3 linked regions of the Bombyx mori genome follow. The main gene of each other region encodes a partner of the protein of the gene in region 2 in a complex. Links are inferred from orthologs where the notes say so. Each region holds a gene or a part of one and is shown on either strand. Other genes may lie near its edges. The genes, in order: structural maintenance of chromosomes protein 4, condensin complex subunit 2 and structural maintenance of chromosomes protein 2.

Region 1 (10,408 bases), on a different chromosome or scaffold from region 2:
TACTTTATATTGTTATTTTTCGTCGATAACAATCAATACCTAAGCTTTGAGCTACTCTATTTCTTGTTTGCAGATTTGCAGTTGTCAAGCAAGCTCTTATCATAGACACGCGAAGTATTTAAGGGTATTTATTACATTAATGACTCATTGTTATCTCTACGGTATGTAGATAATTCAAATTGAATAACTTCAGGACTGACTTTTCAAACAACAAATTCAAAAATTTACTCATCGTTCAAATTATAATCTGATTACCAAAAAATTGGTTGTAATGTCGTTCATATGTCTACATTGTTTGTAATGATATAATGATATAACTTTTCTTTGAGAATTAAAAAACGTTCCTAGTTCTAAGCTCATTCATTCATGGTAGCTTTCTACATTGTGCTTTAGAAAGAGACAACTGACCATATAAAGCTTGGTTCGTTACGCACCTGACAGAGACAAATCTTCTCGTTCGAAATCGAACTTTTTATTGGTCTTGATTACAAACTATTGAGATTTGAGGTCAGTCTATTAGATAGCAGCTGTCCCACACTTCAAAGCGATCGATTGCCTCGCAGTATAGAGGTAATAACTATACTGAGACCTCAGAACTGATATCTCAAGGTGGGTGGCGAATTTACGTTGTAGATGTCTATGGGCTCCAGTAACCACGTAACACAAAGTGGGCTGTGAGCTCGTCCACCCATATAAGCAAAAAATTAAATAAAAAAACAAGGTGGGACTTACCAGTACACACTCAGAATACGTTTCACTATCATTGTAATGCTGAGGAATAATATCGACGATAAGAGTATTTTATTTAACCTCTTCAATAACATTGGCACGTCTGCCAATATGCGTTTACTGGTGGTAGGACGTGTTGTGAGTCCGCACGGGTAGGTACCACTACCTTGCCTGTTTCTGCCGTGAAGCAGTAATGCGTTTCGGTTTGAAGGGTGGGGCAACCGTTGTAACTATACTTGAGACCTTAGAACTTATATCTCAAGGTGGGTGGCGCATTTACGTTGCAGATGTCTATGGGCTCCGGTAACCACTTAACACCAGATGGACTGTGAGCTCGTCCACCCATCTAGGCAATAAAAATAAAAAAAGTGTGTGTGTCCGCTCCGACGCACGACTGGAGTTTACTGGATATAAAAAATTAAACGAAACAATACGAGAAATAGTTCTATATTACGACAACACGATACACTACAGATTATTAACAAATTAACGAGACACAAAACAAACGACTAACAAATATATGAAAATACAATAATGAGAGAAACGCGCGATCAGTACGAGGCTTTGTGGCGGACTGCCGGCGCAGCAGCCCGGCGTCACCTGCGATAACGCGGCCGCGCGTTGGCTCCTGATTGGCGCGCGCACGCATCACGCAATCAGGAGCCAATCAGGCGCATAACGCATTTCGTGTGACATGCTAGTACGATTTTGGTCCCCATAATTTTCATACCCCGGGCCTATATATGTAAATCGATTCTAAAGGAGTAAACTCCAAAAAAAACCTTAAAAGACCACAGATGTGGACATTTTATTTAAGTCACTAATGTTTGTGAACTTTTTTTAACTTATTAAATTGTTTTTAAAAAAATGAACAAATTGCAATAAAAATAAAAAAAAATTTTTGTTCTTCAAAAAAGTCTACTATAAAAGTTCATTATCACCTTTTAAAAATTAAACATTCCATGCACTATTGATTGTAATTTGGCTTTCATAATAATAATATATATGTGAACATATTTACCATGAAGAATACATATATGAATAAATTTAGATTCATTTATACGATTTCAAATTTCTAGTAAATGAATGTGAACATGACCTCTATTGATCAATAAAACAGCTAATTAACTAAATTGAAATCTATCATTGTAAATTTGCATTTCTAATTTATAAGAATTATAATATTTTCAAATAATTATATTACAAAATACTAGACAATGCCCTGTTTCATATTCGATAGTCAACGGTAATTGTTAAGACTGTTCTTACTGGCGATATAATCGCTTTATTTATTATTTCATATATAGATATATTTAACGTGAGGTCGTTACGATACGATTTCATTCCTCACAATATTATTGTATCTCTTACCGTACCTATTAAAATTGTTAAATTGCATGAATATTTGAAGGAAGAAAAAAAGGTCATCCGACATTCAAAACCCTTAATTTTAAATACGCTAAGCGTTTACATTAATGCAATATTCTTAAAACGAAAAATGTAACCAGTTGTTTAAATATAACAAATAAAGTGTGATTTTGAATGCCGGAAAACGGTTTTTAAATTGGGATGAAGTTATGCAAAAGTACCTTGATTGAATTATACATTAACAGTAACTAATCCCAGCAAACTATCCAAAAAAAGCTATTTCATATACCAAGTCTGTGTCACTACACATCATGATATGTAACATTTTAGTCTCAGCCTGATTATAACATAAATTATCCATAGGATATGCCATAGGTTAAGGATGATTATATCGTTGCCTAATTTGATAGTACAATTCAAATTTATTATACATTACTATGCTTTATAAAGTTACATATTTAACCAATTTTAATCAGACACATAAAACGCATTCATCTTGCATAACCACATCCAAATCGTTTATTAAAGAAACAGTATAATATAAACTGTTTGTTATTTAATTAATTTATTTATTTTTTATTGTAAAAATTAAACAATATTCATGAATTAATACATAATAAAACGAGTTTTATTCACGCACCGTCCACACGTACTTGCTCCGGTAGCTGGTTCTCAATCGTTATAGACTTTGTGCAGTCTTCAGTTTTGTATATACCGACCAAACGATTCGACACCTCAAACATGTTGTATCGAAGCGATATGATTATGAATTGAGCGTTCTTCGTTCTTTCCTGAAACAATCGAATAGAGTTATAGACGACACTAGCAAAGAGCGGCTAGTATTAATACTGATGATTTACTGGTGGTAGGACCTCTTGTGAGTCCGCGCGGGTAGATAATCACCGCCCTGCCTGTTTCTGCCTTGAAGCAGTAATGCGTTTCGGTTTAAAGGGTGGGGCAGTCGTTGTAACTATACTTGAGACCTTAGAACTTATATCTCAAGGTGGGGGGCGCATTTGCATTGTAGGTGTTTTGGGAGGCTTAAACGACGAAAGGGAAGATCTTCCACCGAGCGGGTGATATTTGCTCGGTAGACCGACGGTCCGAATATTGTTGTTCGGAACTTGTATATATGCAAGCTTATCTTGAAAATATCGTAAGTGAGATTCAGGCATCTGTCAAATATCTTGCGTTGTATGATGGCTACCCGCCAGTGTCTATCGGATCATAATAAAAAAAAAACCTAAATAGCCATTTGATATTCACGGCATATTTACGGAACACATATCTCGTGGATAAAGAGCTCTTACTGTATCTGTACTATATCTGCGAGGAGTGAAGTTGTGTGATTTGTTTTATTTTGTCTATTGTAATGTTTCTTTAGGATTAAATGTGTAGTAACGGTGGTTTATTAACTGTTTAATATCTGTGAAAGTGCACAAATGTGGGAAAATGAAACAAAGCCGCTAGACGTAACTTCTAAAAAGTCCACTGAAAATATCTTAGTAGATGACCACTATTTTACTGAGATTATATTTCATCCCATATCATCTCATTTCATTTCACTCCATATTTATCATTTTTCATAAAAAATAATAATTTAAATTAAAATAAGACATGACTTAAATGTCTTAGTTACCAGGTCATAAAATCCCTCAAAAGAAAAAAATATATATTTTTTTTCTTTTGTAGGCAGACGTGCATACGGCCCACCTGATGGTAAGTGGTCACCGTCGCTCATGGACGTCAGCAATGCCCGTATTTAATAATATGTAATATTATTATAATATATTAATATGTAAAGGTCACCGACCTTAATATAGTTTGCCACGATCGAAACGTTTTTGAAGTCCAAGGCCGCGTCTATCTCGTCCATGACGTACAGAGGCGTTGGTTTGTAGTAATGTAAAGCGAAAACCAGGGCCAGTGAGGATAACGTCTTCTCGCCGCCCGATAAATTCGATATGTTCTTCCAGGACTTGTTCGGCGGACGCACGCTGTAAACAAAACAAGAGTTATTTAGGTGTCGTGAGATTATTATTTTTTTTACTGGCCGAGTCCCGCGATGTTATCTGCGGTTATTTTCGTACCGCGAGTGACGCCGCGGGGCTAAGCAAGTCTAGAAAAAGTAGCCTAAGTTACTCCTTATATCATGAGCTACCTATTAGTGGAAGTCTCGTCAAATTTGGTCCAGCCGTTCCAGAGATTAACCGGAACAAACAGACAATAATTTTTTTTTTTTTTTCTACCTATCCTGATAGCCTTGAGAGGCTATTTCAGCTTCACCCTAACGTTTGTAGGTGAGCTCACGGGGCTCAAACCGGAGTGTTGCTAACACTGCCCCTAGCAAGAGCAGAGCTTCGCAGAATCTACCACCGGATCGGAAACGCGACCCACTGAGAAGATCCGGCGAGAAACTCAGTGGGCTGTGCCTATGGGCTAGTTCGCTCGTCGAGCCCTTCGTCGCAAGCGACGGGTTCGACGAGGACGGTGACCGGGGAAAAATTGTGAAAAATTGTATGTGTTACCGACAATCTGTATAATACAGTATTCTATACAATACTTAGGCAATGTATAGAATACCTAAAACGTTAAGGTAAAGTATGTAATATTTTTCATTTTATACTTTGCCTAGGCATTCTATACAAAACCGAATGCGCTGCCCGTAATGTGTGTAAAAGAACTGATTACTTAACTTTTAACTAATTACTTAGATTAGATTATGTTAGTTAACCCAGAAGAATTTTAAATTCAATGTTATTTGATTGTGATTTTACAATAAATACCTATGAATATAAAGATTGTTTTTAATCAAAACTAACTACTTATTAATTGTTAATTTTAATAAAGTTGATTTTAAGCAAATCTTATGTGCTATTTTTGTCTGTCATTTTATACTCTTCTGCTTATTTACTTACATAACATTGATAAATACAGGCCCAAATATAGTTATTTTACACATTATGTATAGATTTACTTTTTATAGTTTAGATGAGTGGACGAGCGCACGGCCTACCTGGTGTTAAGTGGTTAGCGGAGCAAAAAAAAAAACTAGACGGTAAATTCCGCCACCTACCTTATATATGATATGAGTACTAAGGTCTCAAGTATAGTTACAACGGCTGCCCCGCCCTTCAAACCGAAACGCATTACTGCTTCACAGCAGAATAGGCAGGGCGGTGGTACCTACCCGCGCGGACTCACAGCACATGCTACCTACCACTAGTCGAAATTTTGCATTTCAGACATTTTAATCGCATATATCGAATCGGCGCCATTGCCTTAATACTCTTTAGAAATAAACTTACATTACGAAGAATTAAACATTAAAATATATGCAATTGAGACTTCGAGATGAAGACCAGTCAAGGGAATTATAATTTTATTACTAAACACATAAGAGGCTTTATATAAAAATACTCCATAAATTATCATAGGCCAGTACGAATATATATATTTTTTTCCTTCCTATTCTAGTAGCCTCTAGGGGTTATTCTAGATTAGCCGAGCTTGTAGGTGAGCTCACGGGGCTCAAACCTGAGGACGTTGCTAACACGAACCCTAGCAAGAGCCGTGCTTCGCAGAATCTACCACCGGATCGGAAACGCGACCCACTGAGAAGATCCGGCGAGAAACTCAGTAGACCGTGTCTGTGGGTTAGTTTACTTATCGAGCCCTTCGTTGCAAGCGACGGGTTCAACGAGGACGGTGACCGGTGCTTGAGGTACCTAAAAGCACCGTTAGTGGATCGGGAGGATCCAAAATGACGTGTTTGGGGCGACGTCGACTGCTTTCCATTCGGTCCGCAGGATCGGGTATAGTACGATCCTTAAAACAAAATACCTGAATATAATCCCTTCGGAGAATGGATCCAGCGAGTCAACAAGTTCTAGTTCAGCGTCGCCTCCCAATGTTATCATTTGGTACATCTCTTTCAGTTTCATTGTTATCGTATTGAATCCTGGAAGGAAAAGTTTATTTTTTATTGTACAGAATTGGAGTTTCGAACTTTACACTAAACTAGCGGCCCGCTCCGGCTCCGCTCGGGTCTTTAACAAAAATTTCAACGATATTTGACGTTGTTTTATTTTTTTAAATAAAAGAACACTTATTGCGACATAACTACAATAGTTAGACATATGCTGTCCCGACACTTTTGGTAAATAATAATGTGTTCTACAAAGCAGTAGTACATTATTTTATTATACCATCAATAGTTTTCGCAGGCACGCGATGTAAAGATTATTTTAGGTAATTTTTGGAGTTTACTCCTTTAGAATCGATTTACATATATAGGCCCGGGGTATGAAAATTATGGGGACCAAAATCGTACTAGCATGTCACACGAAATGCGTTATGCGCCTGATTGGCTCCTGATTGCGTGATGCGTGCGCGCGCCAATCAGGAGCCAACGCGCGGCCGCGTTATCGCAGGTGACGCCGGGCTGCTGCGCCGGCAGTCCGCCACAAAGCCTCGTACTGATCGCGCGTTTCTCTCATTATTGTATTTTCATATATTTGTTAGTCGTTTGTTTTGTGTCTCGTTAATTTGTTAATAATCTGTAGTGTATCGTGTTGTCGTAATATAGAACTATTTCTCGTATTGTTTCGTTTAATTTTTTATATCCAGTAAACTCCAGTCGTGCGTCGGAGCGGACACACACACTTTTTTTTACCTATTGGGATACATTATTGGAGTTTTAGTAAGGATCCCTAATATTTTTCAAAAAAGATTATCGCCTATGTCACTCGGTGTAGCTTCCAAACAATGTAAGAATTTTTCAAATCGGTTCAGTAGTTTCGGAGCCTATTCAATACAAACAAACAAATATTTCCCTTTTATAATATTAGTACAGATGTCTCTGCAAAGTTTTACTACATCGAGTAGAAATCTAGGAATATTTTTGAGAAGTCTGACATAACTTGAACCCCTCCTGACCTTGAGTAAGATTCCCCAGGGTTAAAAACATACTTACGGCTCATATTTTTACGAATTTGCTTTTGTAATTCGTGATAAGAACACGTTTTTTTTTTTATTGCATAGATGGGTGGATGACATTACAGCCCACCTGGTGTTAAGTGGTTACTGAAGCCCATAGACATCTACAACGTAAATGCGCCAACCACCTTATAAGTTCCAAAGTCTCAGTATAGTTACAACGGCTGCCCCACACTTCAAACCGAAACGCATTACTGCTTCACGGCAGAAATAGGTAGGTCGGTGGTACTTACCGCGCGGACTCACAAGAGGTCCTACCACCAGTATTTACACCCGTTTGCATTAAAATTACAAACCCCTGTTGTATATTGTAATGGCAGTCCGTACGCACCGGACGAGGTAGGCCGGGAGGTAGCCATGACGCCTCCCTACACAATACTTCAAAACCAGTGAATACATTACCGCTTAAGAAATCAGTCGAACGTTTCTTCCTGAGTTGTTCATAAAGTGCCCTCATTTCGTTTCTCTTTGTAGTTATCTCGTCCAATTCGGCGGCGCGCTTTATATATAAGTCTTCTTTTGCTTTGTAATCCTGAAATACAACAAGGTTTTTTTACAAGAGGAAAAGTGAAGAAATGGTGGATCGTGATTTGCGCCCACCGCCACTGAGGTAAAAAACTAGGATCGAAACGACTTTAAAAATCGTTACAACTTTTAAAATAATAACATCATGTGAAATAAATAAATAAATGCTTTAACAGCAAAGCCGAAATAAAAGAAATGATTATTTTGTATCATAGTGGTTCTTCTCTTTGACACGTATGCAAATTTTTCAGGGTAATTAGACATCTTGAACATGGTGAAAATTTCATTGAAAAATTTCGTCATATAAGTTTTATATCACCCTGCCTATTTCTGCCGTGAAGCAGTAATGCGTTTCGGTTTGAAGGGTGGGGCAGCCGATGTAACTATACTTGAGACCTTAGAACTCATATCTCAAGGTGGGTGGCGCATTTACGTTGTAGATGTCTATGGGCTCTAGTAACCACTTAACACCAGGTGGGCTGTGAGCTCGTCCACCCAGCTAAGCAATAAAAAAAAATACTAAGTGTGTTAAAATGCTTTTTTTAAATGTTACCGTATTTTCATAAGAATTTGAATACATTATTTAAAACAGTATTCTGACCTGTATCGCTTGTATGTTAGGTTTATTATCTCCCACTCTATTCTTCTGAGCTGCCAGTTTATTCCTCAGATCATCCACAGAACTCTCCTCCAGTTCTTCGGGGGTGTGCTGACGCAGCGGTTCCGGCCTCTCCACCCCAGGGATGCCGTCTAATCCCGAGTCTTCTAACCTTAGACTTGATAGCTGAATACAAAATTATTAATTAGAGGTATAGTAAATGATTTAGTGATCAATAAATAGTAGAAAGCTCTACTCATTTTAAATTGTAAAGTGACTGTTTATTTTTAATAATTAATAAAACCTAGCATACATGTTCTTGGCGAATATCACTAAATATATAAAATAATATATCAGTTGAGTATATATTATATTGAGTTTAGGATACTCAACCACGTGAGTTGCAGTTTTTTTAAGGGATTTTATGACCTGGTAACTGAGACCTTTAAGTCATGTCTTATTTTAATGTATATTCATATTTTTATGAAAAATGATGTTATGGAGTGAAATGAAATGAAGATGATTAATTTGAGACATTAATCAACTGGGATGAAATTAAATAGTAGGCAGCGGCTTGGCTCTGCCCCTGGCATTGCTGAAGTCCATGGGCGACGGTAACCACTCACCATCAGGTGGGCCGTATGCCCGTCTGCCTACAATGGCAATAAAAAAAATGAGATGAAATATGAAATTTAATCTCAGTAAAATGGTGGTCATTTACTAAGATTTTTTCAGTGGATTTTTTGGAGGATTCCGAGAAGTTACGTCCAGCGGCTTTGTTTCATTTTCCCACATTTGTGCACTTTCACAGATATTAAACAGTTAATAAACAACCATTATTACACATTTAAACCCGAACAAACACTAAATAGACAAAATAAAACAAATCACACAACTTCACTCCTCGCGTTCCCGCCAAAAAGTCCTGAGTTGCAGTAGAAATAAAAAAAAAAAACAACTACCCACCTCTTTTTCCCACAGAGGGATCTTGCTCTTGCAGTCGAGCACGGACTTCTCCATTTTGCTAACAGCATTGGCAGCTTCTAAACGCTCACTCTTCAGCTTATTTTCTTTCGATTGTAATTTCGCTATCTCCTGTTTAAGCTCTGAAAATTCACTGGTGCCCTCGTTGATTTCCTCCTCCAACTGCAATGATAATCCTCCTCATGTTAAGAAGTAAGATAAACATTATGAATATATTAGGATGTGGGTCGGTTGTCGAATTATGGTGAAGTATGCAATTAATTAACCACTATACAAAATATAATATGTAATTAATAACCCTATAAACTTCTTTGTATAATGTTCTAATAATATATCAAAATATTATTACTCCTTTACGAGTATTTTCTTCCTTTGAAGTTGAATCTTTGTTTTTTAATATAGATACGAATATATAAAAGTCTCCGTGCTATTATGCAATAAATGTAGGCACAAATAAAACTTCAATCTATATATTAATACGTGAAGCAAAAAGTTTGTATCCTTTTTTACGAAAATTGCGCGGACAGAGGAGTATGAAATTTTCCTCACTTATAGAGAATATAGAGAAGAAGTGCACAATGCTAATATTTTTTTTAAAGAATGCATAAAAGATACATTAAATCAATAAAGAAAAGATTACACACACTACATACCATGTATTTGACGCACACACGCATGCATACTATTTATTGTCAAACTTTTGTTCTTGACGTCTTGTCAAATTGAGAATAGAATATGGTTTGTCTTTGTTAATATTTTTTATAGTGTAGTCTTGGCGAAATTTGTGATTATAGAAGTATAAAATACAATCGTAATAGTGTACAAACTTACAATTCCAATTAGTTATAGTCGAATTTCGACTACTGCGGGTCCTCTAGTTTCAATAATTCAATAACGTCATCTTTTCAATAACTGTTCACTTTATGTGACAACAAAACGATTTCTCGAATTCTGATCTCAATTCTCACAACTATATACTTGGCAGAATATAAAGTAGGTCTTTTTTCCGCCTACGTGCTGGGCGAAGTCGAACAGTCCAAAAACTGTCCTTTTATAGTCCAGACCCAAATTCACCGAAACAAGCAAGAAGCAAGGTGATAAGATAAGAACTAAGGAGTTGTCTCGTAATATATAAATATAGCCAAAATTACTACCAAAGAAGATCACGTATATAGGCATTTAACAGAAAAGTAATATTTGTAACCG
Region 2 (9,591 bases):
GTTGTAAAAAAATAATTTACACAAAAATAGGGGTATTAAAGGGTTACAATGTTTCTAATGTGAAACAGTCTTTTTTCCAAACTATGCCATAACTCAGAGAGATAACTACTAAATCCAACAGTTTTTGATGCATTTTGTGCATGTGCTCAAATTCAATCTAATAAACGTATTCCAGTGGCTGTCCACTTTGGGAGTGGTAGGTGGAGGTGTTGGAGCTCTACTTTTTGCACTTGAGCAGTCTGTGCAGGCATCAGGCTCTGAAGCTCACCCACCTCACAACCCTTGGAATCACAGTGGCTGGTTCAGCTCCCTGGACCACGCTAGGTGAGTTTTCACTCTTAGAGTTAGAACTCTAAGCATTTAAATTCAATTTCAATAATACAACAAAAGTCATAGATAAAATTATAAAGAAAAATTAACATTAAGATGACCTTTATGATCAAAATCAAGGACGTTCAAAGTCATAATGAATATAAAAATTATGTTTATAAAACATTACTGTAAGAAAAAATACAATTTTCTTGTTTTACTGTATGAAATGGATTGTAATTGTATATACATTAGGCAAAGAAAAACATAATACCTATCAAACATCATTTGTCATAGAACACCTAGTTCCATGTTTGTTACAGTGTCCGTCGGGGTTATGAAGTTTACAAACAAGTCTGCAAGGCATGCCACTCTTTGCAGTATATTGCCTTCAGAAATTTGGTCAATGTCACCCATACTGAAGACGAGGCTAAGGCTGAAGCTGCTGAGGTCAGTCATCGGTGATTATGTCAAATAAATGTTAATTTTATCCTGATGCTATAAATAAATAAATAAATATTTACTAACAATCACGCCACGTTAACTGGTCCCGTGATAAGTTCGTAAAGAACTTGTGTTACAGGTACCAGATAACGGATATAAATGTAAGATTTTTATTATACACATACATATATTTAATAGAATCCATAACCCTGGAAAAGACATTTATATTTATCATACAAATATCTTCCCTTGGCGGGATTCGAACACGCGACCCCCCTATGTAGTGACCATGTCACTTACCACTACACCAGACGGCCGTTAAATGGCCGGCTATGATCATGTGCGAGACATTAATACCAAGCATGATATAAAAAAATGACTCTAGGGATCAATTATATTTGATGTATTTTATAATTGTCAATAACATGCCCTTTTTATTACAAGTAGTCAGTTAAAAGAGAAAAATTACTTTCATATTCATTAGTTATAGGTTTGTCCAACATAGTAAGAACAAAACTGTCATAGCAGTACAATGTATAATATTTAATTGGTAACTTGAACATTTTCAGGTGATGATTAAAGATGGTCCTGATGAGGAGGGCAACTACTTTGAAAGGCCTGGTAAACTTTCTGACTACCTGCCGTCTCCATACCCCAATGAAAATGCGGCTCGTGCTGCAAACAATGGTATGTGTAGAAAATAATAAAATGCAGAGCAAAATCTTAGTATCATTTGTGAATGGGCCCACAAGAAATCAATGTCATGAAATCCTGTAGGGAAACTAAGTAACCTTGATTTCTAAAGGTCTGGGTAGTTAATATTTTTAATAATTGCCATGCCTCTTACTATGATGGTAGATGCAGTCATGGGTATTGGTTTGAAAGATGGAAGTCATTATAAAATGAAACTGAGACATCAAGCTTACGTCTCAAGGCACATGGCTCCACTTAACAACACTTACGGTAGGCAGCGGCTTGGCTCTGCCCCTGGCATTGCTGAAGTTCATGGGCGACGGTAACCACTCACCATCAGGTGGGCCGTATGCTCGTCTGCCTACAAGGGCAATAAAAAAAAAAAAAAAAAAAAAAACTTTCACTTAATAGATTTACATTAAAAAAAATTGCAAAGGTATTATGCATTGGTGTTAAAAACATATTAGTATTATTAAATTTAATGAAATTATTGAAATAGAAGAGAAAATTTTATCTGGATTTTAAAGATCAAATTTAAATAGTGCAAGTTAATAAGTGATTATGCTTGACTCCCTAAATACAAAACTAATAATAAAAATGTTAATTGATATCAGGTGCTTACCCACCGGACTTGTCTCTGATCTGCTCGGGACGTAAGGGCGGCGAAGATTACATCTTCGCGCTACTGACTGGTTACATGGAACCTCCTGCTGGTGTAGTGCTACGTGAGGGACAGAACTACAATCCATACTTCCCAGGAGGTGCCATCTCTATGGCGCAAGTTCTATTTGACGAAGTAAGTTTCATGGATAATTCTAAACTCGTTATATATGTCCATTGGTGATATTTCATTAACAAACAAAATTAGCCTTATACAAGAAGAATAGACTGCATTATATATTATTTTCTATACACATACGAGTAATATCAACGCCCTCTCTAAATATTATATTATGTTTGGCAGGCAGCTGAGTACAGTGACGGCACGCCGGCGACTGCGTCACAGCTCGCCAAGGATGTTGCGACTTTCTTGAAATGGTGCTCAGAACCCGAACTGGACGACCGTCGGCAGATGACCATCAAAGCTATCGGCATGTTCTCCATGCTTGCCGCCGTTGTCTACTACTACAAGCGGCACAAGTGGTCCACGCTCAAGTCTAGAAAGCTCGCCTACAAGCCCGTTTCTAAGAAATAAACGCCAACAACTTACAAGTAGCAAAACAAATGTTTTAGACAATTTTTTTTTTTTCTATAGGCACAGTAACATGTTAATTGTTTATAATTAAATTAATTTATTTTATCTACCATCGCGTGTTTACTTTGTTACACGGGGTGGCTTGCTGTGACTTTGTTACCATGCGTGGTCCCGTAGACGCGAAACCGTATTATCTTATGTAATTATGTTTATAGCATTTTGCCACTGCGAAGCCGTGGCACAGTCAAATTGTAATGTTAGGTGATCTGTCGGTAACTGTGCTTGTGATTTTCCATGAAAGCTCTTACTGTGAATCAGTGTACAGTTGAATAAATGTGTTAAAATCTATTGATTTCATCTTTTCCTTGACCTTCTCTTCCAAATTATGATGCAGCCCTAATATTATTTTAATGCTAAGTGTGTTAAGTGTTAGGTGGTTTCTGGAGCCCATAGACATCTACAACGTAAACGCGCCACCCACCTCGAGATATAAGTTCTAAGGTCTCAGTATAGTTACAACGGCTACCTCACCCTTCGAACCGAAACCCATTACTGCTTCACGGCAGAAATAGGCAGGGCGGTGGTACCTACCCGTGCGAACTCACAAGAAGTCCTACCACCAGTCGTGAGCTCGTCCATCAACCTAAACAATAAAAAAACAAATTGTTGTAATTACTGGTCGTGGTGCGTCTTGCGAGGCAGTTATGTACCACCAGCCATTCTATTCCTGATGTGAAGCAGTAATGGATTCCAGTTTGTAGAGTGGGACAGCCGTTTTAGTATACAATTGAGATTTAGACCTCATGTCTCACGTAGTGATGTCTATGGGCTCCGGTAATCGTGTAACACCCGGTGGGCCGTGAGTTCATTCACCCGTCCATGCATGCAATAAAAAAATCAAATTACATGTATGGCTTGTAACAGTGCCACATCCGATTAATTTTATTTTCGTTGTTTCGATGCGCGAATGTCTTGCACAGTCGCCATTTAAATCTAAAAAGTAAATAATACTACTAGGCTAGACGAAGGAGTATCCCTGCAACCTTTTACTTGTATTGGGATACTTGGGGTCGACATTTTGAGCGATGTCCAATTTCGAAGTTATTTGGACGGCAAAGCCAAGCTGGCGTACAAAATGCTAGGCGTCCTGAACAGAGCGAAACGGTACTTCGCGCCTAGAGAAAGGCTTTTGCTTTATAAAGCAAAAGTCTGGCCTCGCGTGAAGTACTGCTCCCACCTCTGGGCCGGATCTTCCAAATACCAGCTACTTCTATTTGACTCTATAGAGAAGAGGGCTGTTCGGATTGTCGATAATCCCGATCTCACGGATCGTTTGAAACCTCTGATTCTGCAGAGGGACTTCGGTTCTCGCTGTATTTTGTACCATATGTTTCATGGAGTGGTCTGAGGAATTGGTTGAAATGGTCCCATCAATTCGTTTTTACCATCGCACCGCCCGCTACCGGAGTAGAGTTCATCCATACTACCTGGAGCCACTGCGTTCATACACAGTGCGTTTCCAGAGATTTTGCCACGTACCATCCGACTTTGGAATGAGCTCCCCTCCACGATGTTTCCCGAGCGCTATGACATTCTTCAAACGAGGCTTGTGGAGCGTACTTAACAGTAAGCAGCGCCTTGGCTCTACCCTTGGCGTTGCTGAAGTCCATGGGCGACGGTAACCACTCACCATCAGGTGGGCCATGTGGCTGTCTGGCTACACGGGCAATAAAAAAAATTAAGGATGTTTCTTATCCATCTACCTTTTTTGCTGTTGATGTATAGATTACCTCACTGCTCTTTTGATAGTAAATAATAAAAGCCAGGGAATATAAAATAAAAAACGAGCTTGGTACTTGCATACATATCTAAATATTATTCAATACTTAAATATAAAAATAAAGTCTATTCTAAAAACATCTATACAATGTTTTCACAAACTTTTTCATATATTTTGACACATGTCAAAACTTTATTTACAAGATTCAATATTTAATTACGGTACATACATCCATTGCATTTCTAATTGTGAAACGTTGATAATAGCACATTATTTAATCATCTGTAGGATAGTAAGGAAATGCGACCCTAGAAACTAATGTAATTAACTGGAATAGTGTTGCTGCAAGAAACTGACATTTATTACAATAACATTTTTTTTTACTTTCAATACACAACTTTGACATAAGGTAAGCTCTCAGATGACGCATCAAATTTATTGAATTATGTATGGATGTTGTCAAAGACAATTCGTTTTGTAGTTCAGGTAATAATGGCTTTTAGGTATTTCTTTTCTTTCAATAAATTCACTAAAAAATTAATGTAAATAACAATCAAAATTTGTGACTAACTAATATTTTATGGTCATATTTGAGATACTAAACACTAGAGTATTCAAAACACAAGTTTCGCTACAAGCCATGCTTTCAGTGGAGGTAGTGAGGAATATGCTTAAATTTATATGTATTTTAGAACCTCACCTCAAGTTGTTTTATTATTTTATCAAACCTATTATGCCAAAGTCCTTAAGGTCTTCTTGTTTCTCTAAAATCAATCCTTTTTCGTTTGCTAAATGCAAAATTGAGAGTAAAGCTAATGGTACACTTAATGATTCTCTCATATTCGGCGTCAGTTTGCTCGGAAGTCTGGAATAAATCGAAAAGAATGACGTTTCCGTGACCTCGTCTTTGGAACCTTCTGGAGTTTTTTCAGTGAGCATCTTCCAGGTACAGTTTTTCAATTGTTTCATGTCGACCTTTTTCGCCCGCATCGCGTATGGTATGAATATTTTGGCCACCTGTTGGAATACGGATGCGGAACATTATATGTTTCGTTGTAATTCTGTGTTAGTGTATTGTTGTTAGTGCAGTTGGAACAGCGCCCCTAGCGGCAAACGTTCCAACTCCATACAAATTTGAGATAACTTTCACGCTATCGAGAACATTAAAAAACTCGCACGAAGCACACAAGAGAAGAATAGAATAATTATATATATTTATCCTTGGGTATGAGTAAATCTAAAACGACATCAAGACGAAACTATTTTTTTTTGTTACAAATATTCTTAACACATACAAGACTTCTAACTCATATCCAACTGGGAATGAAACCTGTACACTGTCGTAGATCAATCGGGATCAATAATGTGACGATCGAACTTACTTTTGTTGGTGGTTCGAGCATGTCCCCGATGTCTTCGAGTTCTACGGCTTTGACTTGTTCGTGCAGGTCGCCGGCGGCCGTGGCGTCCTCGTTGCCCCACTCGTCAGCATCCTACCAAAAACAACAACTTAAGTTATGTTTGTGATATTGCTTTTTTTTTTATTGCTCTATAGATGTGTGGACGAGCTCCCAGCCCACCTGGTGTTAAGTGGTTACTGGAGCCCATAGACATCTACAGCGTAAATGCGCCACACACCTTGAGATATAAGTTCTAAGATCTCAGTATAGTTACAACGGCTGCCCCACCCTTCAAACCGAAACGCATTATTGCTCCACGGCAGAAATAGGCGGGGCGGTGGTACCTACCCGTGCGGACTCACAAGAGGTCCTACCACCAGTAAAAATTAGCTTTTCAAATATTACTTTTTTAACGACAGAATACGGTAGTATGTTTGATTATTTTTAAAACTGATTAGATTAGGTAAACAATATTAACAAGTACAACTAACAATCTTAACGAATACAAATTTTATACATACAATAAAATATCAATAATAGATGTCATTAGATTTATCGGTCAAATTGTTTAATATGAGTATCGCACGACCTCAACCAGTTGATTATTATTGTAATTAGTTGAGAAAAACAGCATCAACTGCGAGTTTCTAACATCACTGACTGGGAGAATATAGGATTGTAGAATTGTGAATGTACTCACCGGCGGTATGTTGGGACAATATGAGGCATCATTTTCATTATTGTAATCGTAGTCGCGCACCTCCTCGACCGTGACGGGCTCCTCGGGCTTGCTGTGTTCGTTGTCACGTTTCCGCGACATCGTCACTTTACGCAGTAAAAATAATTTGCAGAAGTGCGATTCGTCCAGACCTCTGCGCAAAGAATGGATTAAATAGAACTCGAAACTATCTTAGGTGCTGCTGACCTGTGTGCTTAGTGCGAGTTTTTTAATGTCCTCGATAGCGTAAAAGTTAACTCAAAGTTGTATGCAGCGCCCTTAGCGCCAAACGTAGGGAAACGTTCCAACTCCATACAAATTTTTGTAATTGGTCCTACGAAATTACTAACTTCTGATTTCGACAGAAGAGTAAACATGTTGTGGGGACCACATCTAAGGGGTAAAGACAAGAAGGAACATATAATAAAAAAAATGTGTGCGTGTACTAGTGTACACACGTAAGAAGTGAAACTTCTTTATGGCCTTATTTTTCGAAAAATGATCTACATGCAACTTTCTAGAAATTGGTTAAATAAAGTTAAATTAGATAAAGTTTAAACAAAAGGATTTTATTATCATAGACATGAATACAAAAAAGTTAAATTAGATAAAGTTTAAACAAGAGGATTTTATTATCATAGACATGAATACAAAAAAGATGGCGCGTAACGGAAAAATGTGACGCGTAACCGAAAAATGTGACGGTAAATTTTTTTCCAACGCCGATAAGGAAGTTTCACTTCAAAAGGGAAAATATTACAGTTTGATATTATCATTAAAGAATTTCCAACATTTCGAAAACTTGAGTTTTCATGGTTACCGACGAATTCGTCATTAGTTTAGAATTGCATTTAAGTTTAATAACTTTTTTTATATATATATATTTAAGATTTTTTTGTACATAGAAAGTACTAATAGTATCCTGAAGCCTGACAATAAAAAACACTCTACCTATCAATAGGAGTTTTAAAGTTGGTCTCGTTCCACGTGTGTCCCGTGGCGAGCGTCTTCCTGCTGATCATGATCTTGGCCGGCTGGATGGGCTCGTAGTCCCCGACGGGCGCGGACCGGCAGTCGAACGTGAGTCCCGCGCCTTCGAAGTCTAACTGCCGCTTCGTCCGCGCCGGCTTCTTGTTGCCGTCCGCCATCAGCCGCCCGCCCATCGATTGCGTTCGCTCGGAAAGCTTTGATGCTGTACAGCCAATGTTAAAATATGATTAATTATGTTTGCTACGGTAAATAAAGATTAAGTGAGAAAGTTAATATTTCGATTTTATTGGATTACAATTATTTATTTGTTTTTAAACTAAATAAAGTGACAGTTTATCAAATTAAACAGAAGATTCATATGTTTGGGACGGTCATTAGTTTGATAGCTAAACGAAATGCAGCACGATTCCCGAGAGATGGCAGCACCATTGCGGTAACATCGGAACTCGGCTAACTTCGATGACCACTACGACAGAGCCTAGCCGATGGAGGCGCGTAGACGCTATCACACTTACCAATCAGCATTCTTGAAGAGGGGTGTCTCCATCCTAAGAACTGTCATTCGTTTTCGTTCGCTAACGCCAAGAGAAGATTTCTAAATTGATCTAAGACAACAACTACAATAACAACAAACGTGACGTTCTAACAAACGTGATTGGTGTGCTCATTAATTCTCTTAGCTCGATCACCCTATTCGCCCCTACCATTTCTGACGATGATGTTAATAAATGTGGCTACTCAGACATATATTTATTCAATATTTAGTGAATTGAATATATAGCCCGTGCGAAGGTAGCCTTATAGATAGGTAGAATTAAGAACCTCTGTTGTTTTTGAGTCTCCAGTGCGCGGGCCCCGCCCATGCGGCGGCCAGGGAGCAGTAGGAGTACTCGAGGCGCGCGTGGTGCGGCGCGGAGGGGCGCGCGTCGGCCAGGCGGGGCGCGGGGAGGGCCACGCGCGCCACGCACGCCGCCACGGCCGCGTCCGCCTCCTCGCCGCTCTCCACGCCTCCCAGCGGCTCATCGTCTGCAAACGTTAACCTTTACTCGTAAAACGCATCGATCTTTTTTTTTTTGCTTAGATGGGTGAACGAGCTCACTGCCCATAGAGACCTATAACATACCTTACCTATTGACCTTAAAGGTCTCAATATGGTTACAACAGCTGTCCCATGGTTCAAACCGAAACGCATTACTGCTTCACGGCAGAAATAGACAGGATGATGGTACCTACCGGTGCGGACTCACAAGAGGTGTTGTTGAAAAACAACATTTATTGTACAGTTTGCAAAACTCACCATACAAATCATTGTGTAAGTCATCCTGAGGTATCGGCTCCACTTCAGCATTGACATCAAAAGCCAAGGCTTGCTGTGATAGATTCAATCTGTTCTCTTCCACCCAATTTGTCACTCTGTTTTCCCCACTACAAAATTTATAAGAATTATTTTAACCATACCCATAACATAACAATATACAAAACCACATTTTTTATTTTTATAGAATCTACTTCTATTAAAACAATCAATAAATTAATGTTAAAACTAAATTATAATTTTGCACAACACATATGATGCGTAGCTAATCATTTTGTATCAGTGTCTGATATCTACACTTTGGTATTTGTAGATTTCATCCTCAAAACATGTCAAGCAAAATAAAGTTGCATTCACAAAAATTGTTCCTATAAAATTGTTATACTAAAGTCCAACATTGGATACTATACCCAAATGTATAAAAAAAAAAAAATTTATCGCCGAGACACAATGCGCGCGCTCGACCATGAGATGTCTGATAAATTTAGATTTAGAATTGTATCCCTTGTGTTGGTTGGAACTCTTAGAAAATAGCCAAATGTTTCATTCAGCATATATATTATGGCACTAACTTGTCTTCGGTATCCGGATCCCAATTGCTTATAGAGAAACCCGTGAAAGGCTCACATAATGCATCCGTTTCTAAAAACGGCGGCAGTAACTTTACGGCGAGGGTGATGCGGTGTGACAAGTCCAACTCTTCAGGGATGTTCTCCTTGACAGGTTCTAAAAACTTGGTGTCGGTCC
Region 3 (11,126 bases), on a different chromosome or scaffold from region 2:
AGTTTCTTGAATACTTATGTCTATCGAGGCAAGGATCCTACATACCGGATGTATCAAGCCATATCCGATTCCGATACAGCAATAAATTACTAAGTCAAGAGTAACGTAAACAAAGCATAAATACTTTTTGTCAAGATTTATCAAGATTATATTTTGTGAGTCCACATAAGACCAAGAAAAGACAGCCAGTGCATACCGGGTGTGAGCTAGTACTGCGAACCTGAAGAGTTCAGTGCAGAGGCCATGTTTTCTTCGTAATGCTGTGCTACACTTACAATATCGGTCATTCATTGGTTATTAAACAGATGTATTGTAGTTCTTCACGCATGTACAGGTCCGTGCCATTATAAGGAGTGTCTTTAGGACATAATTTAGTTCACATATAAAACAAGTACATATTATGGAGAGCAGGTAAAATAAATGTTTTCTTTGAGTGCATTGAGGTGTGTTGAGCTTGAGCATCACAAATATTGTTTCCACAACCACATGCATGAATAAATTAATAAAAGAAAGAGTCACCGGAAACAATTAACCAACCATTTGACTAAAACGATTCACTCTAATTTATCTTTGTAATTCGAATGTTTCCATCCAAAGACAGTTTACTTTCAAGAAGTGTCAAGTGTATCCTGCTGGGACCGCACCTCATTAAGAATCTGTTGCTTTGATGTGAGAGCCTGCTCGTCCTCAGCCAGTGCCTTTTCGAGTAGTTTGACTCTCTTCTCGTGTCCGCTCAGGGCTTCTTTGCTGCCTTTATATTGTGAACTTGCTGCTGCTTCAACCTTCTCCAAGTTTTGAAGTTCTACTTCCAAATCTTTGAGGACATTCCCACTCTCCTGATACAATAATTAAATGATTAGTGGTTTACATATAAAAAGTCTAAACTTTATCAGCTAACTACATCATCCGATGAATAATAACGACACGAATTGATAGCAGATTCCTTAAATTATGGATTAAACGCACTCATGGTTGCCTAATGCACAATGGATATCAGTTCCAATAACCATTACTATGTGAATTCTGCTCCAGATCCAGACATAAAGTGCAAGTCTCAAGTGTATCCCTTCACACCGGACCGCATAGAATGCGACAAGAGCCCCGCTCTGGGGCTGGACTCACGGACGAAAAGCGACGACTTACTGCTGTCTCTTACCTCATCCAGTTTTTTGTTTAAGTCAACAACTTGCTTATCCAGCTCTTTCATTTCTTTCTCATTGTTTTTAATAGTCTCTTTTTTCAATTTAATGTCGTCCTGCACTTGCGTGACTTTTCCCTCTGCTGCTTTGGTTTGCTCTTCAGCAGAAACATACCTGTAACGGAGATATCGTTTTAACTTTCGTGACTATGATGTGCTAAAATATTGCCTTGTTCTATCATGTAAATAAGTGGTTTAGAAGGGGAAGGTAATAAACATACTATGGACACTTGTGCATGTATACTGTAGAGAGAGATGTTCAATAAAATTGTTTTCTTTTCTTAATGTATTTAAAACAGAAAGAAAGAAGTACTCAACATACTAAGAAGTACTCAACATACTGACATTTTTGTGTTACACTGAACAGGGAGGCACACGGGCGGCCGCGCAGTCCTGTGGCGACTAGGAACTTAGGCAATGACCATACTCACTTCCAAGCGACACACAGCCTGGTGATATTCTCCAATTCTCTGACAACCTTCTGATATTCTTGGAACTGAGATCTTTCATCTTGCAGCTTCTGAAGTTTAGGTGCTATGTCTTCTCTTATTATCTATTTTGAACAGAAACAATTTTGCCACAACAGTTCTTTTAATGTATTTTCTGAGAAGTTTTAGTTCAGTTCAAAAAAATTTACATCTGATTAATTGTGATCCCTTCTACAAAATCATTATTTTATTCAAAAAAGTATTGGCAGTTCTGAAAGTCCACCTAAGTAGTCCTAGAAATCTACTAATTTGATGAAGTGATAAAATAGTTTTATTTGTGTCATATTATGCTTTAAAACGAATCGACATTTGTACAGTGTGCAGTGACAGTAAAATTGTACAATTGACTTACATCATTAAGTTCCCGGAGCTTTGCATCTTTCTTCTCAATAGTTTTCTGTGCTGCTTGTTTTTTAGCTTCATACATTCTTGTACCTGCCGCTTCCTCTACCATTGATAATATCTAACAAAAAAGTGGTATTGTAGCTGTATATATTTTAGCCTTCAGTGCAATGTGGTTATTGGATGCCAATGCTAAACATGAATGTCTCTAGTGCCAATTTACCATGTTCATGTTCTTATGGCCTTTTTATTGTTTATTGTATTTTATAATTATTAGAAGAAATTTGTAATCATTAGATCAGCTAAATTAGTTACATTTCATTTATTCACAAGGATGTCAAACACAATTACAGCACAGGTTTTTTGCCTTTTTTTATTACTTAGATAGGTCATTGAGCTCACAGCCCATCTGACTTTAAGTGGATACGGGAGCCCCGCCACCCACCGTGGGAAAAGGCATCCAAGCCTCAGTGTGCAATTACTGCCCCACCCTTGAAAAACGAAACACATTACTGCTTCAAGGCAAAAATAGGCAGAGTGGTGATACATACCTATACGAGCTCATGGGATGTTGTACTGCCAGCTCAACTTCAGTTCTCAGGGAGAGTGGTAGCATCAACATTGTCTTGTGGATATAAAACTCTTGTGCTCACAGCTTTTTTTTTATCTTAGGGCCAACAATGGCTGGGCAGCAGCCACAGAGCAAGGTTAAATGGAAATCTTCCATATCAGAAGACAAGATCTCAAGTTTACTGATATTGTGGCTAGTAAGTGTTTGAGGGAAAACAATATAAGAAACATCTTCCACCAAGCAGATAATTTTGTTCCATACACCAAAAGTCCAAATATTGTTTGTAACTGGCTTAACACATGCAAAGCTTCTTTTGAAAATGCCATTAGTGTGATTTCAAAATTTGTCAAATATTTTCTGTCCTACGATGGCACGAATTGGGAAGCATAAGGATATTACACCACATTTATTACTAAGGCTGTATGTCTCTACCTATATTTTAATCATCACAAATAGCTCAAACATACAATACAACTAATGCCACACAGTACAGAGAAAGAAAAAAATCACAAAGCAATTAAGACCTTACTAGAAATTACAGTGCACACGCTTTTAGAAAGATTAAATTTCATTCAGAGGAGTGAGAAAAATCATACGACTTAAAGTGAAGTCATATCCAAGACAAGATTTGAATGCAATCTAATGCATCATAATAGTGAAATCAGTCACTATACTTATCAAAGTACTAATCAAAGTATTTTGTAATTAGACTTGATGATTTTGATTCATAATCTATATATGTTTTTGATTATCTATATATATAAAAATGAATTGCTGGTTGTTAGTCTCACTAAAACTCGAGAACGGCTGGACCGATTTGGCTAATTTTGGTTTTGAATTATTTGTGGAAGTCCAGAGAAGCTTTAAAAGGTAGATAAATATGAAAATTCTCGGAATTCAATAAGAATAACAATTTTGTTTTTCCTTTGATGTATCCCCCGTCGGACGGATTCCTTGTGTTTGTTTTAAGTTTATTTTATACAAAAGTTTAGGTCTTGGCACTGCGAAGTCTGCCTGGTCAGCTAGTAAGAAATAATTATTTTATCCAGAACTTCAGTTCGTAACACTATTTACTAAGGTCATACAAGTAATTTAACTGCTGAAGCTGATGTATGGCTTACCTCAGGAGGTTTCATATTTAGCACCTTAGTAATCCTTCCCTGCATGATGAGGAAGTGTGGGTTATTGACATTAAGCTGAACCGAACAGAATAAGTCACTGACCCTCTTGTTTTGGACATTGATACCATTTATAAGGTATTTATTCTTACCACCCATCACCACCTGAAATTTATTTTTCAAATTGTTTCAATAATTGTTAAATAGCATGTTCTTTATATTAGTTTGATTAAGCAAATTTGGATGAGGAAATATAACTTTTGAATGCTATACGTTATTTCTTGTTTTGTTCAGCAAAGCTTATGAAATTTAGCTTGGTTTGCTAATAGTAAAAGTCAAGCTACTTGATCGAATGATTTGTAAATGATGTATTAAATCATGTCATCTCAAACATTTGAATATTGATTTATTAATCATGTATATATTCTTGGAACTATTGTATTCTTGGAACTTTTTAATAAAGTAATTTAATGGAAGCTTCATGAACCTGGAAACTTAGCAAATGGTTATTCAATTTCTAGATGTTTTGTTGATTACTAATTACTATTCCAATATAACTATGTCTTACCTGTCTAGTGACAGTAATCTCATCATGATTCTCATAGCCAATCGGACATTGTCTCTTATCTCTGTTGTCGAAGGTAATGCTAACTGTTGCTTTGGTGATACCTGCCTGCCCATGCTTGTAAATAAGCTCCTGCAAGCTGCTTGCTCGTACCTATTTTTTTATAATAAATTAATTAATAATTTAGGCACAAATTTTGTTAAACAAGCATTTTGACCAAGAAGCAACTATGTTTTATTGTTGGAATATTCATATTATTTATAATTGTACCCAGAAAGAAGCAGAAAACATCATTGTCGAGTTTACTTCGCATCAATCGATATTATTGTTGTACTAGAACTTGAAAAGTGTATGTTTTTATTTTCAAGTCATCATGTATTCTGATGCCCATAGGATTTATGTCGCATATTTGATAGGTAATTGAATATTATCATGAATAAACGCTGCTACTATATCGCCATAACCCTTAACAGTGAATGGTATTTGGCGGGAAATAAATCAGCAACAGTTGTTATTTTGTTAGCAATAATAAACTACAACATACATTCGATAAATTTGTGATTCCAAGTACGAAACATATAGAATCTAAGATATTTGATTTTCCAGTCCCATTTAGACCAGTGATCGCATTAAATTCTGGATCAAATCCAGTAATTTCCACTCGGTTTCCGTAAGACTTGAAGCCATCTAACACTATTGACTTAATAAACATGTTCAGATCATAAAAACAACAGTTATAGAACAAGAAAATTCATTAAAAATTTAAACTCATACGAATTCATCAAGCGTTAGAGAAGCCGTTGATTTTTTTATGAAATCAAAATTGATTTGTGTTTTTAAAATATTTTTGACATTCATTGATTAATGACATTGACACATTATATTTTTCTCGACAACATTTTTTTTAAAGATTTTAATTCGATTTAGATTAACAATATGGTAAAGAGGTAAAAAATTATAAGTGTACCGATTCTTTTTCTTTTCTTTATTGCATACTAGCTGACCCGGAAGACTTCGTAGTGCCTCTATCAATAAATAAAAGACTTAAACCTTTGAAGAAAATAAATTTAAAACAAACAAAAGGAATCCGTCCGGCGCGCGGCGGGGGGGACATCAAAGGAAAAACAAAATTGTTATTTTTATTTAATTCCGAGCATTTTCATATTTATCTATCCTTTTAAACCTTCATTGGACTTCCACAAATAATTCAAGACCAAAATTAGCCAAATCGGTGCAGCCGTTCTCGAGTTTTAGCGAGACTAACGAACAGCAATTCATTTTTATATATATAGAAGAAGAAGATAGATAACATCTCAGATTCAAATGTAATAGATTCTGATTCGAACTAAAATAAATTGTAGTAAGTACAGAAAATGAAGTATTTTAACCATGTAGTGAAAGTTCATAAGCGCAAAAAAAATCATAGGCCGTGGCTTCGGCCGTGGACGTGGACTTGACAACTTCCAAAAAGTCTACAAACTCAGACATTAAATCTCACCCTTTTATAAGTTGTAGCCCAAAGAATAAAACGCCCGATGAACTAGTATCATTATAGCGTAATCGTATAGCATTAGAACTAATGTCCAACAAATCGAAAGCAGGGCGGATGGATCTACTAGGACTTGTCGATGTAAATGACAGTGGCTGATTTTTGCACGAGCGTGAGCTAGAATGTAGTCAATAGTGTCTTTAATAAAGCTGTTATCATATAGCATCGATATCAAGAAATAGTGCTTCTATATCTCAAACAGAATAAGATACCCAGCGAGGATGAACTCTTCTCCGATGGCAGGCGGTGCGATGGTAAAAGTGAGATGATGGAATCATCTCAAAGAATTCCTCATAGCACTCCCCATGGAACATACGGTACAAAATACAGAGAAAAGCGAAGTCCTTCCGCAGACCCAGAGGTTCCAAATGATCCGTGAGATCCGGGATTATCGACAATCCGAGCGGCCCTTTTCTATATAGAGTGAAATCGAAGTAGCTCGTATTTGGTAACCCTAGCCCAGAGATGAAAAGGCTTTGTCCAGGCGTGAAGTACTGCTTTGCTCTGTTGAGGACTTCCAGCATCTTGGACGCCAACTTGGCTTTGCCTTCCAAATGACTCCAAAATTGGACAGACCCCAAGTATCCAGGTATTCTCGGAAGGTTGCAGGGATACTCCTTGGATTTGGCGCCATAACAAAGGGGTCCTTCTTCGTAGTTAACGCGCAAACTTATGTCTTCAATGGATTGAATTGAGCGAAGTTCAATTCGCCCCATTCGGAGATTAGCTTCGGAGAGTTCTCCACTTCAGACACAAGTTTTGATCGTCTCTCTTGCACCACGCTCCGTGAGAGACTCTGATGGCCGATATATCGCGCATCCCCCTTACTGTCATCCGCATAGCAATGCATATCATCAATAGACATCATGTCATTGACATTGATATACAGGATGAAAATCATATACTTCAGGAGTTGTGCATTTTTTATTCGCTCCATCACCTTGGAAAGTAAGGAACTTATCGCGGTAGGCCTATAGCTCGATGGCTCCGACCAGTCGCCCTTCTTGGGGATAGGGTGGACGTGAAGGGGTCTTCCATGAAGACGGATACAATAAGAGAGGCGATACAAATGCGTTAGCGCAGGTGTCAACTCAGGGGCGCACGTTTTCAGAACCACTGCGAGGATGCAGTCTGGCCCACTCGACTTATAGACGTCCAGGAGTCGGAGCTCCCGCCTGACTGCATACTGTGTGAAGCAGATCTCCGGCAGGGAGCTATCACACCGGAGGATGTTCGGTGGTATGGCACCCCCGTCGTCCACAGTCGAGTTCGACCACGTGCTCCGACTTAATAAGTTCATGACTGTACACGACCCGGTCTGTATGGCTGTTTCCGAGTCGTGTAATAATATTTTCTGCTGTCTGTTTGTGCGCTGGTAGAAGACGGCTGTTTCTTTCGATGGGTTTCGGCTTCTGTAGCGAGGTTTCACAGGTAACTGTCTGGTTCACTGGTAGCTGATTCACTGGTGGTTTTCTGATAACTGTACTATTGGAGAACTGCTGGTAACTGTTTCTGTCTTGCTGATGGTTCTTTGTCGAAGATTCACTGGGAACTGTTTCTGTCTTGATGTTTCTATGTCGGAGATTCGCTGAGAACTGTTTCTGTCTTGATGATCTGCTGAGAACTGTTTCTGTCTTGCTGATGTTTCTATGTCGAAGATCCACTGAGAACTGTTTTTGCCTATAAATGGCCATCCTTTTATATTTATTTCAGTACCCCATCTCGCGACGCGCTATCGACGCGCCACTTTTGGAGGGTCCCTTGATCTGTATGTTACCGTAGTGAAAGCGCTCCACAAATCGTTCCTATTGGTCTATTCACATTCTCTGATCTGATACACTAACATATTGCATATTAAATAATTTAAGATTATACAATTTTGTTACGTAATTACTTATTAACTATATTAATTGTATTTGTTCGATAAAACTATTTAAAATCAGTTTCGTCCTGCACAATGACAATTCCGCTAACTTTTCGAACAACATTCGCCGAACCCTTAACTTGAACGCGCAACGGTTAGTAATAGTCCTGATCTCAAGAGCAAGCGCATTCCATAGCAGAACAGATTGCACGACGATAGAGTTACGAACATAACTAGAACTATGTGTGGGACAACGAATAGGTTAAAAATAAATCGAATGCAGTTATTAAGAAGACGATCAAGTATTAAAAAGGTCTGCATTCAGGTCAAAATAACACACATCACCGTAATCCATTATAGGGAAGATCAAGGCTTGTACTAGCATAGTCTTAGTCGCTGATGGTAAGAAATTCTTGAGGCGATGCAGAGCACGAAGAATTCCAGAGGTTCTTTGTCCATCGTAAGATATTTGAGCTTTCCAGTCGAGTGTGGAGTCTATGTAAAGGCCTAGGTTCTTAACCACGGAACTTAGGGGAATCACTGTACCATTATAAAATATTGATGAGAGTGATATAGTAGTTATGCGTTGAACCATACGAGGACTACCCACAATAATGGCTTGGCATTTCGCTGGATTCACGGTTAAGCCAAACTTAGTTGACCAACTACATAATAATATGTAGTCCAGATCCCTATTTAACTGGTTTATTGCCTGAGAAATATATAAATGTAAATGCCACCATCGATCTAGAGACTTGTCTTTGTATAGTGTACTAATTCACCTACATTAAATTTTAACGCAGGTTTAAATTGTTTTTCCTTAATTGTGGAAGTCATTCCTGAACATTATTCAAATATATTTTTTGCTAGGTTTGTGGACGAACTCATGGCCAACCTGGTGTTAAGTGGTTACCGGGACCCATATATATATATCAACAACTTAAATGCCGCCAACCATCTTGAGATTTCAGTTTTAAGTTTAATTAAACAGTTAACAGTATAATGGCTGCCCAAAACTTCAAATCGAAAAGCATTACTGCTTTAAGGCATAAATAGGTAAATTTGTGGCACTACCCAAGTATTTCACAAAAAAATTGATACGACTATCGAGTGATACGCTCGATACGAATATATTTTTAGACCACGACAAAGGCAAGTTAAACAAAGCTTACTCTTTAGCTGTAAATAATGGTATCTTATAAAATAAAACTGTCATCAAAATGTTTTGTTAAGTTTTTTCGTTAATAGGGATCCCTGTGAAATATTCAAATTGTAATATAATTTGCAACATTGTTGAATAAGTCTGTTGAAACGCTACATTTTAACCTATGTCCCTTTGCATTTCAATTAATGCTAAAGAAATGTTTAAAAAAAGTTTAAGAACATGGAACATAAAAACGATTTTTATTTGACGTTTTGAATTATTTTGCTTGAGCAGGGTCGATTCATTTGCATTTTATTTTAGTTTATAGATATGGATTTCAATACTACAGGAGCGATGAGAAGTCCGTTCTCGCCCCGGGTAAGACAGTCCATTTCAGGGCGAAGGCCTGGCGGCCTATCTTCCTTGAAAAAAAGCCAAAGGTGTGTTTCTTAACCTATACCTGTTATGTTTTATATAAATTATTGTCTTTCTCTTTATTTACGGCTTTTATTACAGTAAATTTATGCAGTCACAAAGCGAACAAACTGGCGATGTGATCTATAAAACTCCATCGATGACACTAGAAACGTACGGGGCACCTATGCCAGTGATGGTCACAGAGGCTCTTGCGTTCGGTTAGTTACCGATCAACACAACGTCCTATTAATTACAATATCTGAAAACCATGAGCATTTTTCATTCCAGACATTTCGAAAAAAATCGTAGTAGGGTAGACAAAAAATCATTCATCAGTCATTTGGCTTATTTGTATCAAAACCTAAAATTTGGACCTGCTGTAGCATGATTGCTTAGATTAAATACTGTAATTCGTTTTAAATTCAAAGCAAGTGGAGACATCTCAGTGCGCCTCTCGACCTGTGGCTGGTGTTGGGTAGTGTCTGGTCGTCGCATCCTGGCTTGGGAGCAATCTCCAATAGATACTGATGAAGATCCAGCCAATGTGACTGGCATATCAGCTGCTCGAGAGCTCACATTACCTCAAACAGATTTAGCTCACAAGGCTGATTTAGTTGTACTGTTTTATGGAAATGACTCTCAGGTAATCAGAAAAAATTGCTAAACATATGTATAACTATAAAAAACTGAATTTTAGAATTTATTTATTTATAAGAGAAAAAGACATGAAAAATACATTTGGAGCCTTTGCTCCAAATGTAAAGGGAAGCATTAGTCTTAAATTTGTGGAGTCTCCTGAGATATTTACCTTCACTATAAAGTTTTAAATGCCTTTTCAACAGTCACAAACTGAAGAATTATTGAAACCACATTTATGGTTTAACCCCATTAGCATAAGAAACAAAAAATTTAACTATATAAGCTATTAAGAAAAAAACTATACCAAAAATATTGTTATAGATGCCATCCTGTATTGGAGTTTCACCTGAGGGTGTGATTCGCTACTGGCCCTCAGTAGGACAAGAAGAGGTTTATGTAGATGTAACATGTGAACTAGCAGGTCAAGAGTGTGAGAAACTAGGAGATTACACCAGCTCTGGCCTCATACTGGCTACTACGACTTGTACCGTGGTGCTATTGACTCCTACTGTTCTTGGTTAGTCATCTTGTTTATTTTGTTGTTGTATTTAATAACGTTTTTGTTTGGCATATTTATCTAACTTTTAATTAAAGCTGTAATTTAGTATATGTATAGTTGATCTGAAATATAAAATATGAATCTGTCATCAGCAGCAAGTACTGCCATTTTAGTTTTAACATATGTTCACGTCATAAAACTGGTTATTAAATAATACATTATATTATATATTAGATGGAAGAGCAACAGTGACTTGCTGCACTTTACGTCCACCGAGTGGTTGGCTAGGAGGTATAGGACGACGTGTATCACTGTTGTTCTTTGGATCTATGCCTGCACACACAGATACGGTGAGTATACAATATAATGTATGATCCCAATGAATCTACAACCCATTTCCAAATTTTTACTTACATATTACATGGTGAGTACCTACCACCAATAATAGTTAGCTTGGTAAGCGTATCTTATTGTGTCCTTTGTCAATTAGGCCATAAGGCCACAATTTATTACAATTTAGACAAAACTTTGGGTTTGAAATTGTCTTCTACTAATAACAAATCTGAACAGATCTTTGATTGATGCTCAATAATGTAGACCTTACTTATTTTATATAATTTGGTAAATGTTATAATTTGACTTGTAGCAATATACATACATGTTCCTAATAATCTAATAATGGTTATCCCTGAGTTTTTTGCTGATTCTTCTTAGTAGTGAAATCATATTCCC

Evidence for each region.
Region 1: condensin complex subunit 2 (region 2) and structural maintenance of chromosomes protein 4 share a complex: the UniProt entries of both Homo sapiens proteins name them as parts of the condensin complex. The link is inferred for Bombyx mori from reciprocal best matches to the Homo sapiens genes NCAPH and SMC4.
Region 3: condensin complex subunit 2 (region 2) and structural maintenance of chromosomes protein 2 share a complex: the UniProt entries of both Homo sapiens proteins name them as parts of the condensin complex. The link is inferred for Bombyx mori from reciprocal best matches to the Homo sapiens genes NCAPH and SMC2.

The regions. Positions count from the first base shown.
Region 1 is NC_085134.1:4,029,398-4,039,805, reverse strand, and holds the end of structural maintenance of chromosomes protein 4, read right to left. Parts: intron 9,365-10,408; coding exon 9,185-9,364; intron 8,433-9,184; exon of another isoform or gene 8,405-8,432; coding exon 8,222-8,404; intron 7,628-8,221; coding exon 7,498-7,627; intron 6,059-7,497; coding exon 5,941-6,058; intron 4,095-5,940; coding exon 3,911-4,094; intron 2,889-3,910; coding exon 2,730-2,888; 3' UTR 2,646-2,729; downstream 1-2,645. UniProt on the Homo sapiens protein: Central component of the condensin complex, a complex required for conversion of interphase chromatin into mitotic-like condense chromosomes.
Region 2 is NC_085117.1:9,008,082-9,017,672, forward strand, and holds the end of condensin complex subunit 2, read right to left. Parts: intron 9,591-9,591; coding exon 9,417-9,590; intron 8,955-9,416; coding exon 8,827-8,954; intron 8,556-8,826; coding exon 8,352-8,555; intron 7,732-8,351; coding exon 7,491-7,731; intron 6,694-7,490; coding exon 6,522-6,693; intron 5,915-6,521; coding exon 5,804-5,914; intron 5,439-5,803; coding exon 5,136-5,438; 3' UTR 4,491-5,135; downstream 1-4,490. Other genes in the region: cytochrome c1, read left to right, coding at 176-324, 633-759, 1,323-1,440, 2,061-2,242, 2,411-2,641. UniProt on the Homo sapiens protein: Regulatory subunit of the condensin complex, a complex required for conversion of interphase chromatin into mitotic-like condense chromosomes.
Region 3 is NC_085131.1:14,292,640-14,303,765, forward strand, and holds the start of structural maintenance of chromosomes protein 2, read right to left. Parts: upstream 5,137-11,126; 5' UTR 4,995-5,136; coding exon 4,827-4,994; intron 4,436-4,826; coding exon 4,286-4,435; intron 3,883-4,285; coding exon 3,721-3,882; intron 2,150-3,720; coding exon 2,039-2,149; intron 1,752-2,038; coding exon 1,630-1,751; intron 1,314-1,629; coding exon 1,157-1,313; intron 837-1,156; coding exon 645-836; intron 1-644. Other genes in the region: nuclear pore complex protein Nup133, read left to right, coding at 9,170-9,279, 9,356-9,474, 9,685-9,899, 10,217-10,412, 10,629-10,744. UniProt on the Homo sapiens protein: Central component of the condensin complex, a complex required for conversion of interphase chromatin into mitotic-like condense chromosomes.